Linked DNA regions of Macaca mulatta. The protein of the gene in region 1 interacts with the protein of each later gene in a biochemical or structural test. Links are inferred from orthologs where the notes say so. Each region holds a gene or a part of one and is shown on either strand. Other genes may lie near its edges. The genes, in order: NPR2, NPPA and NPPC.

Region 1 (3,646 bases):
ACTGACTTTGTCCTGTGGGCCATGGGAGACCTGGATTCTGGGGACTTTCAGGTGATGGGGGAGGAGGCAGGGAAGAGAGTGTGGCCTTGCAAAATTCAGCTTTCAAGGGTTCAGTGGGGGCAGAACCAAAAGTACTAGAGGAGGGACTTGTTTTATCTGCTGGTGCTGCATCCTGGCTGGGTGGTAGGCTGGGGAGAAAAGCAGCAAAACAGCTGGGGTCTGGGGAGGAGGCTGGTGGGAGTAGGCCTGTGGGCCCAGCTTTTTGCTTCCTTATAGCCTGCAGCCCACTACTCGGGAGCTGAGAAGCAGATTTGGTGGACGGGACGGCCTATTCCCTGGGTGAAGGGGGCTCCTCCCTCGGACAATCCCCCCTGTGCCTTTGACTTGGACGACCCATCCTGTGATAAAAGTGGGTGTGTGCAGGGACTGGGAGCAACCTTCCTCCCTTTGCTTTCCATTCGTGGTCTCCACCCTCACTGACCCTCCACTCTTAACTGTGCTTCTGCCTTTACGTCTGCATCCCTCCCTCATTTCTTCCTACTCCCAAGGAATCTGTCTATGCACCTATGCACCCCATTCTCCATTCTGCCAAGTCCACACACAGTCTTCCTCAGGGTCTCTATCTCCCCTTCAGCTCCACTTTCAACTCTGGCAATTGTGGCTCTGGGCACAGGAATCACCTTCATCATGTTTGGTGTTTCCAGCTTCCTAATTTTCCGGTGAGTTCTGTGTTTCCCGCTGACCTACTCCCTACCCCCACTGCCACACAGCCTCTGGCTGAAGCCAGGTGGTCACTATAATGTGGGATAGGGTAGCAGGTTTCTTAATTTGCTGGTTGTTTCTTAGATCCAACAGTGTCTTCCTCTCTAGCCTCTCTCTTTAGTTGTCTTTTAGCCTAGGTGTTTGTTCCACTTTTGGTTCTAGACTGGATATACTAACTAGTGTTTTTCAGTGGGGTTAAGATCAAAGGTGAATTTTCCATTGGTCTTCTTTTAGGAAAGAACTTTCACCCCCAATCTCTGTGTTTGTTAGTGAGCATAGGGCATGTGCCAGATATGCCGAGAATGCAGCCTCATCTTCCAGCCCTATCTCTTAGGTGTAACAGTTGCAGCTTCAGGAGCTGCAGGGAAGCCCCTGCAACCCCGCTGTTGGCTTGGGGGTGGCAGGATTTGGCTTGCCAGTCAACTGAGGTGTGCAGTCCTTACAGAAAGCTGATGCTGGAGAAGGAGCTGGCTAGCATGTTGTGGCGCATTCGCTGGGAAGAACTGCAGTTTGGCAACTCAGAGCGTTATCACAAAGGTGCAGGCAGTCGCCTCACACTGTCGCTGGTGAGCCCTTGTCTCAGCTGTCCCTCTGCCTCCCTCTGAGTTCCTGTCCCTTCTTACCCTGGATCTCTCCCAGCACATTGGCTTGTAATGATAGCCCCTGCACTACCACCATCATCTAATGTTCCTTTCATCCTTCCGCCTCCATGTTGCCCTTGGCCCCAGCGGGGATCCAGTTACGGCTCGCTCATGACAGCCCATGGGAAATACCAGATCTTTGCCAACACCGGTCACTTCAAGGTGAACAGTCATCTGCTTGTTCTGGTCCCCACCATTTCATCCTTTCTCATCCCCATCTGCCACCTCTGCCCCTGCACCTCTGCCCCTCATACCCCCCTCTCTGTGCCCAGCTGAGCTCCTGGATGCTTCCACTGCTCTCTAGCATTTCCTTGCACCCAGAACTTCCGATATTCATTTTCCTTTCCCCTTTCACTCCCACCATCAGGGAAATGTTGTCGCCATCAAACACGTGAATAAGAAGCGCATTGAGCTAACCCGGCAGGTTCTGTTCGAACTCAAACATGTATGTAACGGAGGATGGGTTGAGGGTGAGGGGTAAACAGGGATGGGGAAGAGGAGTGGGGAAAACTACGAAATAGTAAAATTGGCTGGACGGGCAAGGGGTTGATTTATAAATGATTTTAAAATTGTAGATACAACTAAGAGAAAGGTCCTCGTATGTAGTGGTAAGTTTCTGTATCTAATTTTTAACTCTTCCAATGTTCTTATCCTTCCCATTGTTTTTTTCTGCCAGATGAGAGATGTTCAGTTCAACCACCTCACTCGCTTCATTGGCGCCTGCATAGACCCTCCTAACATTTGCATTGTCACTGAATATTGTCCTCGTGGGAGTTTACAGGTGAGAGATAGGTGTAGGAGATTATGGCAGGGGTGGGGAGGATAGACCCAAAATTATACTGACTCTATGTCAGGTGATAGCTAGTGGGACCAGGACAGACAATCTATTCCATGTCACTTACCAGGATATTCTAGAAAATGACAGCATCAACTTGGACTGGATGTTTCGTTATTCACTCATTAATGACCTTGTTAAGGTGAGTTTTCCCCACTCCTTAAAAGTTCATCCACTTTTAAATCACTTCCACTGTTCTTTGATTGTGGTTTTTCTCCTTCTAGTCCTCTGAAAGTCCTGTTCTCTCATCTCCCCTTATTCCCATGGGGGGGTAATAATGGGTAAATAAGGAGTCTGGGACTCATAACTGGGAGAGTGAGTTTTACCTGCCACAAGGAGTCCTGTCCCTGTAGAGAGTTTCTGTCTTTCTGTCTTAAATATCTCAGGTCTCTTTCCATCATCTCTTTTACCTCGAAGAGCTCATAAAATGAGTGGGGTCTCTGAACATATTTATCTCCTATATTTCCTCTCATTATTTTACTCTCTGACCAATATTTGGGCATGTCTGCCCTTTTGTTCAGAAAACTGAAATTTAAAAAAGGAACTTTTACTAGTAGAACTAAGAGAAACCAAGGAAGAGTGTATTAAAAACCTTTGGTACTCTTCTGTTATACTAGGTTTCAGCTATATTCAAATGACTCAGAGGCTCATGGATTTGTGGAACATAAAATAGAATCTTGCATGAGTTGGACAGGTTTTCTGAAATAAGTCTCATAGCCAGTGAGCATCCCAGTGGATCACCCCATGCTGTATTTGAAGCTAGCTTTGGTTTTCTGCTAACTTCTCATGAAATTATTTAAAAAGTATTTTTTTGTGTGTGAAAATTTGCTATCAAGTGAGAGATAAAATATTAGTAAAGCCAATGTCATGCTCAACTAGAGGAGTGATGATAAATATAAGAAAAACACGACTCTTGAGAGAATAGTGATTTGGTGGAAAAGTGATTTACAACAAAGCCAGAAGCCTAATCCTGTGATTTTTGAAGGCATCCTTTGCACAGTTTCCACACAAGTAAATTCACAACTTCAGAGATTCCCAAAAGTTTTGTTGATACCAAAAGAAATAAAAAGGAAGAGTTCATAGAGATTAGAGATTAGACATTAGAGTTATGAATTAAGTCCAGAGCTAAACATTTAGACAAAAATGTTTTTCATTAGCATATTGAACCTTGTATCCTCTTTCTGTCTCACCTGAACGGACTTGGGTGGCTCCTAGGGTTTCATTTTTGGGGAGCATCATTAAGACTTTTTTTTTTTTTTTTTTCCTGAGACTGGGTCTTATTCTGTTGCCCAGGCTACAGTGTAGTGGCTAGATCACTGCTCACTGCAGCCTTGACCTCCTGGGCTCAAGTGATTCTCCCACCTTAGCCTCCTGAGTAGCTGGAACCACAGCGTGTGCTGCCGTGCCC
Region 2 (3,634 bases), on another chromosome or scaffold:
TCCTCCCACCTTGGCCTCCTGAATAGCTGGAACTGCCGGTGCACATCACCACGCCTGGCTAATTTTTAAATTTTTTGTAGAGATGAGGTCTTTATTGCTCAGGCTGGCCTTGAACTCCTGGGCTCAAGTGATTTGCCCACTTTGGCCTCCCAAAATGCTGGGATTACAGGAGTGAGCCACTACACCCAGCCTACTCAGCTTTTAAGCTCAACACTCTGCCTACTCTTTTCAAAACTAAAAGTGCCATTAACTTAGCTGTGGCACCTAACTCTCTCGAAATGTATCAGAGGAAATCTAATTAATACTCTCATTTTCTGAATGTTCCCCCCCAAAACAACAAAAACCCCCGTAACCAAAAAGCACTAAGTGGAATTTGAGGCCTCCCCAACCACCCACCAAAAAAGGAGGGTGAAATGAAAGGAATAAGAAAACCTCAGCATTCTGTTCTCTGACAAAGAGTAAAATGACAAGGAATATCGATCGGCCTGAATTCTCTTCCCCAAGAAGAAATCACACCAACGCAGGCATTTGTCTTCTGTCCATGGTGCTGAAGTTTATTCACTTTCAAACCACTTTCAGTAACAGGTGAGGTTCTACCTTAAAATTTAATGCATGGGGTGGGAGAGGCAAGGAAGCCACCATCACACCACTTTATCTACAGTTAGTGTAAGATGTGAGAAGTGTTGACAGGAAGCTGCAGCTTGGATGGGATGATCACAACTCCATGACAACGAGATGACACGAATGCAGGAGAGACCCCAGCGGGCAGGAACCTCTTGCCGTCTGTCCCAAGGCCCAGCCCTCCTTGTGCTCCCTGGCTGTTATCTTCGGTACTACAAAGAGAACACAGACATATCTGGCTTGGTGACCTGGCTGTCTTGGAAAAGTCAGCTTCATGTGTGAGTGTGCCCATCCTCTGAACTTGATTACTGACTACCTGCTTCCCACCGGCCCCCACCCCAGCCTGATGACCCTCTGAACTTCATGAATTGATAAGCAAGTTACTCGTCAGAGTAAATTTCAATTGAGCCCTTCAGGATCTTGCAATTCTGGGGAGGAACATGAGCTGCTAATCAGCCATGCAAAGATAACTTGGCCCTATGACTATTTTAATTTCCCAGTGCTAGTGGCAGTTGCTTCTTCTTCTTCTTTTTTTTTTTTTTTCTTTGAGACAGAGTCTCACTCTATCACCTAGGCTGGAGTGCAGTGGGGCAATCTTGGCTCACTGCAACCTCTGCCTCCTGGGTTCAAGTGATTCTCCTGCCTCAGCCTCCCGAGTAGCTAGGACTATAGGCACCCAGCACCACCGTGCCCAGCTAATTTTTGTATTTTTAGTAGAGACGGGGTTTCACCATGTTGGCCAGGATAGTCTCGATCTCTTGACTTCATGATCCGCCTGCCTTGGCCTCCCAAAGTGCTGGGATTATAGGCGTGAGCCACCGTGCCCGGCCTTTTTTTTTTTTTTTTTTTTTAAGCATTTTCTCAGCAGACTGTAGCTAAGGACAATAGATGGCGTGTCCTGACACCCATGGGGCACTCACAGTGTTGGGGCAGAAACTTGAGAGAGAATGAGCTTCTGCATTGGTCTCTTTCCTGCTGAGGGTGTCTCCCAGTAGTGTCCATCCCATCCCATTTCCATCCCCAGTTCCTCTTACCCGGAAGCTGTTACAGCCCAGTCCACTCTGGGCTCCAATCCTGTCCATCCTGCCCCCGAAGCAACTGGATCTCCGCAGGCTCCGAGGGGCAGTGAGCAGCGCCCTCAGCTTGCTTTTTAAGAGGGCAGATCGATCGGAGGAGTCCCAGGGGCCCTGCCCGAGGGCACCCCCATCTCTCTGGGCTGGGCTGACATCCCCGGTCCAGGGAGGCACCTCAGGGAGGGGGCTGAGAGCAGCCCCCGCTTCTTCATTCTGCTCTCTGAGCACTTGTGGGGGCATGACCTCATCTTCTAAAGGCATCTTTTCTTCCAAATGGTCCAGCAAATTCTTTACAAAAGGAAAATACAGGGAAAGGGATAAACCTCATTGACTTGGAGAAAATCAAGAGGCGTGAGCACAGCATCAGAAAGCCCCGTGGCCCCAGACTGCACCCGCTTTCCTGGCCCTACCTTGAAATCCATCAGGTCTGCGTTGGACACGGCATTGTACATGGGATTAGCTCTGGTCTGACCTGGGAGCTGGAATGCCAGAAAAAGGAGGAAGCTCACACTGATGGTGGAGAAGGAGCTCATGCTGGCGTAGTCAAGGAGCAATCCACTGCTTGCTGCTCTGTCTCTCCCCTCTGGTTCCTCTCTGGTTCCCCTCTCTTGGCCTACGTCCGTCCCTGTCTCCCAGCTGCCCAGTGCCTCCTCTTTTTATAGCCCCCCAGCTCTCCAAGCACGCAGGAGAGACAGAACCCTCCCCATTCTGTCACTTGCAGCGATAAAGCAGCCAAGTGAGAAGCCAGCAGGAGATGCCCTTTTAAAGTTATCATCCCGCAGGGCTTGTCACAGCCCTTCTGCCTTGGGCAGCCCCAACAGCCCCCCAGACCCTCGGCTGCAAGAGCCGCATTCTTGCTGATTTGACTCAAGAGGCTTCCACTTCAAAGGTGTGAGAAGAGTAAAAAAGAGTCCTTGGTTATCTCACCACCATGCCTCAGGATTCTTTCTCCTCGATGCTGGTACCCATGCGGGGAGACAGAGGGTGACGCTTGGCTGCTGCCCAGCTCCCCTGGTTTGTTTGTGGCTCAGCTGTCAGGGCCTCCAAATAAGGGTGGAGAGGAGGAAATGGCAGGCAGCCAGCAGCCCGAGACAAATGGGTCCATATGCTCAAGCTGGCCTCACACCTGCCTCATCCGCCACGTGGGCAGACCTCTGGCCTCAGACAGGGCTGCCCTCACCCCTGGCAGTCCCTCTCCATGGTCAGACAAAAGGGAGTTATTTTTTAGTGTATAAAGTCAGCCAGGAACCAAATGTGATGAAGCTCCAAGCCCCGAATAGAAATACCAAGAAAAGCCGGGGAAGCACAAGCATCTTCTCTCCAAAGCTCCTCCTCTTCCACGTCCCCCGCGACCCTCCTCCAACATGCTGTGGGGACAGGCTTAGAGGACGCAGCGAATTTCGTTTCTTCCTTTGCTGTTTATACATGCTCAGACTCTTCGTGTTTGAAGTTTGTAACAGCCCCCTGCCCTTCCTGGGCTTGTGCCCATAGCAACTTAGCCGATGAACGGAGGGAGGTGGGGGTGAAGGAGGTATAGTCGGTTTCCTTCAATGCCGTCTACATCCTTCCCTGAGGACGTGGCAAGGGGCAAGTGACTGAGCCACCAAGGTCACAATTTCTCTGGCCCCCAAAAGAGAAATAACAGGCAACGAGCCTGTCTATGTTTAACGAATGGCCTGTTTGCTAAGCACCGAACTCAGTGTTAGCCATTACCATTCAATGCAACGTATACTGGGGGAAAACACTAAATTTGAAGGACTGACAGACCGGCACTCTAGCCCCAAACCAACCAGTTGCATACATCTTCGCAGCCTTATTTTCCTTGTGTGTAAAATGAGAAAGACTGTGCTGAGAACTTTATGGAAATGATTTTATTTTGATCATCATCCCCAGCTGGTGGTAGACCGCATTGTCCTTGCTTACAAGGGAACAGAACTGAG
Region 3 (3,746 bases), on another chromosome or scaffold:
TGGCTGCAAAGAGAGGAAGGGCACTGGTTAAAACCTAGGGCAGGTGGGAGTGGCCATGGGCTAGGGTGTGCTGGTTTCTCTGGTCATTGACAAATATTTCTGAGTCTGTACGGGGTGCAGTGGGTCCTAGAGTGCCTTAGGCCAGCACTTGGCCCTTAAGCTGTTCAATACGGGGAGGTGAATGGGTTCACAAACTGTGAAAAAGTGTTCTGTACTGTGAAAAAGAGACAGTGTGCTGGAGAGGCGCTCTTGTTTCCCTCCGGGGGAAGACCCAACACTGACAAGGGTTTCTGGGGTGGAGACAGCAGCTTTCCCATGGCCTGGGATGGGACAGTCAAAGTGTGGGACAGGCAGTGGCAGCTGCTGAGCTGGAGGCAAGAAAGGGAGAAAGCCGAGTGAGCCTGATCCTAATGCACATGACTGTCAATGTCAGAGGCTGGGATGCTGTTATTCAGTGGGCACAGGCAGGCGGCAGGAATAGAGAGGAGGGAAAGAGGAGAGGTGAGGCTCTCTGCAGCAGTAAATTACCACCATGCGGCACCCGGCAGGGGGTGACGGTAGGGCAGAGGTTTCCAGCCCTAGTGCGGGGTGAGATCCCACACCAGAAACGGAGCCCAGAGCACCGGTTGGGCGGGGGACAGGGTTGGTGAGGGACTCTGGGACATGTCGAGTTTGAGGGTGGGGCAAAAAATATTTACTTTAGTATCTTTCCTATTCCCTGAAATAGTGCCACAAGCACTGAGATTCACCCCTGAAGCCACCGGGCTGCAGCTCCCCGGACAGACCAGTTTGCCCACTGCCTGGGTTTAGAGAAGGGACAGGACCCTGGATAGACCAGTTTGCCCACTGCCTGGGTTTAGAGAAGGGACAGGAATCGGAGTGCTCCAGGCAGAAGGGCGCCCTGACGGTGCCAACAGAGGGCTACTCTCGCTACAGGGGGCATGGTGGCCGGCAGATGATCAATGTCCCTTGGACTTGTGGGTGTAACCTTCCTTCTCTGCTCCCACAAACCCATGATCTCCCCTCAATTCCCCCACCAGCTGGCCAGCTGGGGCCAATGCTGCTAGTTCAGCTAAGGTGCAGGGGTGGGTGAGACGCCACCAAGCCTGTTTCTGCTTCTCTAGAAGAAGCCTGGTGGGTTCAACCAGGCTGAGCCATTTCTGACCATGCCAAAGTTCCCCGATCACTTTATCCTTCGCTTTCTTTGTCTGTAAAGGGGATAATAAAGGGGGTGGCCGGCAAACGCCTGGCACAACTTGAGCAAAGCCGGGCCGGGCTGGGGCTGGGCGCGGGGTCGGCGGTACTCACCGCCGCCAGGGGGCGCCGCACTAACATCCCAGGCCGCTCATGGAGCCGATTCGGTCCAGCTTGAGGCCGAAGCAGCCCTTGGACAAGCCCTTCTTGTTGGCTCCTTTGTATTTGCGCGCGTTGGGGTGCTCGTGCAGAAGGCGGGCCCACGCTGCCCGCGACTTGGTGTCCACGCGCAGGTCCCGGAGCAGTCGCGATCGGTCGCCCTTGAGGTTGGCGCCCCCGCCCCCGGGAGCCTTGTCGCCCTTCTTCTGACCGCCGCCCGCAGCCTGCGGCTCGGCCAGCTCCTCTCCCGGCGGGGTTCGCGGGACCTGTCCGAAGAAAGAGCGGGCAGGTGAAGGGACGCGCGGCTGCAGCACAGGGGACTTTGATGCTCCAGCCCCACGCGCCCGCCGGCGCGGGGTGTCCCTCCTAAGCCCAGAGCCGCCCCCACCGATGCCGGCCAGCTTGGCCCCGCATCCACCTGCCACGCGGCCGCCTTCTCCGCTCCCTCCGGAAGCCCCCTGCCCTCCCCTCCTTTGCTGCTCGCCCGGCAGGCCACGCTGGGGCAGGGGGCTGCGCATGGGCCGGCGTTCTCCGGAGGCTGGGGGAGTTGACCCCCGAGTCCGCGCTTCGAGGGCTCCCCGGGTCTCGCCCACGCGCATCTCGGAGGAGAGAGCCGCCTGCCTTCCCTCTCTCCTGGGTCCTGCGCGCCGCATTCTCCAAGCCCCCAGCCTCCCACGACTCTCTCAGGCTCGGCGTCCCCACGACAGCACCCACCTTCGGCGGCGCTCCGGGCTTGGCTTCGGAGGGCCGGAGTGAGAGCAGTGTGAGCAGCAGGGCGCAGGCCAGCAGCTGGGAGAGATGCATGGTGCCGCTGGGGTCTAGGGGCGCAGACGGGCGGCAGCGAGGGCGCGCGGGTCGGCGGGCAGACCAGCAGGCTGGTGCGGAGCAAGCTGGCTGGGCTGCAGGGCGAGCAGGCTCCCAGTGCTGCGCGGCGCCGGCTGGGTGCGCTCTGAGCCCGTGACTCCCCTCGCGCCTTTATAATCCAACCTGCCGCTGATGTCATCCTCCCGCCCACCGGGCTGCCCGGGCCAATGACACCACGCACGCGGCCGCGCCGAGGGCCGGGAGGGGGCCGCGGGGGCTCCCCTCCCTTATCCCACCCCGGAGGGATCCCGCGGTTCTGCCGGCTCGCTCCAGGCTGCACTTGGAGCTGCAGAGCGGCGCGCACAGGGGAACTCCATTTGCAGCCAGCGCGCGCCCTGGCCTGATGAGCATCAGTGCGCCCTGTGCCCTGTGCACCCACTGGGTCCTCAGCACACTCACTCTACCTAGAAGGGATCTATAGCTCTCTTTGCAGGTGCAAAGACAGGCTCAGAGGAATGAAATTACTTGCCCAAAGTCATACAGGCAGAAAGTTGGCGCTGCCCGAAATCCACGCAGCCCTGCTGGTCGCCAAACTCTTCCCTGGCACCTGACAGCCGCGGGATGGGCATTGCAGCTCCGCCTCTCACCTGCTCGCCAGGGCGGGAGCGCAGACCACAGAGATGTCGTTAGGTTGGGGAGGTAGAGGATGGGGTTGGAGGACTGGGGTGGGAGGCACAGGGAGAGCGGGGTTCGCCTGGGCCGCGGCGGGAGCGCAAGTCTTCCGCACTGGAGAGTGCAAGCATGTCGCCAACCTGAGTGTTTGAGCGGGAGGCGGGAACGAGGGGACTGCGAGCGCGGAACCAAGATATTCATGTTCATGCGTGTGCTCGGCGGCATCGTGTGCTCGCCAGTTATGGCTCTAGGTTCACGTTCAGCCGGTTTCGGCTACACAGAACGTCCCCGGGTCTGACTCCGCTGGTGAACTCGGTCTGTGGGAACAATGCGCACCTGACCTTGCCTGCACCCACGCGAGGATCCGCTGCTGAGAGAAGCCCGCTCCAGTATCCTGTGCACTTTCACAGGCTGGGGAGGGAGCTTCCTAACCAGCGGCCCGGTCCAGCCTCTGCCAGCCGTGACAGGTGGTCAACTTCCCACTGTTGACTGTAGAAAGGTCCTCGTGGCTCTCGGGACACGGCCACATATCCCTACCACTCACAAACTTGCTCTCCTTGCACTGGGCTTCTTGGTCCCTTGGGCACTAAGGAGTGTGGTGGGCACTTGGGCACTGCGGTGTGGGCCGCAGAGGCGGAGAGCCCAGATCCCCCAAATTGAGTGAGGTGCACGAATCTATGACTGGCTGCTGCCGAGCAGGACGCAGGCTGGAGAGAGAACAAATGTTGCCGCAGGAGTGCAGTGGCTGTCCCCAGGCGTGAAGAGGATTCTGCGGAGACAGTAGCCCAGACGAGCTTTTCCAGGGAGAGGAAGCGGTGCCTGAGGCAGGAAGGCGGCTGGAGTGAAGAGGGGTTTTGAGCACCAGGTTCCTCCAAACCTCCCTCTTTCCTCCGTGGTAGTGAGCCTGGTCCCAGAGC

What was found.
Region 2: the proteins of NPR2 (region 1) and NPPA form a complex in vitro, tested with the Homo sapiens proteins (3 studies listed by BioGRID). The link is inferred for Macaca mulatta from reciprocal best matches to the Homo sapiens genes NPR2 and NPPA.
Region 3: the proteins of NPR2 (region 1) and NPPC form a complex in vitro, tested with the Homo sapiens proteins (3 studies listed by BioGRID). The link is inferred for Macaca mulatta from reciprocal best matches to the Homo sapiens genes NPR2 and NPPC.

The regions. Positions count from the first base shown.
Region 1 is NC_133420.1:63,894,746-63,898,391, reverse strand, and holds part of NPR2 (atrial natriuretic peptide receptor 2), read left to right. Parts: coding exon 1-51; intron 52-276; coding exon 277-409; intron 410-634; coding exon 635-719; intron 720-1,198; coding exon 1,199-1,328; intron 1,329-1,490; coding exon 1,491-1,565; intron 1,566-1,770; coding exon 1,771-1,848; intron 1,849-2,079; coding exon 2,080-2,184; intron 2,185-2,308; coding exon 2,309-2,380; intron 2,381-3,646. UniProt on the Homo sapiens protein: Receptor for the C-type natriuretic peptide NPPC/CNP hormone. Has guanylate cyclase activity upon binding of its ligand. May play a role in the regulation of skeletal growth.
Region 2 is NC_133406.1:228,884,839-228,888,472, reverse strand, and holds NPPA (natriuretic peptides A), read right to left. Parts: upstream 2,343-3,634; 5' UTR 2,228-2,342; coding exon 2,105-2,227; intron 1,983-2,104; coding exon 1,656-1,982; intron 834-1,655; coding exon 822-833; 3' UTR 528-821; downstream 1-527.
Region 3 is NC_133417.1:137,158,822-137,162,567, forward strand, and holds the start of NPPC (C-type natriuretic peptide precursor), read right to left. Parts: upstream 2,306-3,746; 5' UTR 2,158-2,305; coding exon 2,068-2,157; intron 1,620-2,067; coding exon 1,329-1,619; 3' UTR 1,309-1,328; intron 1-1,308.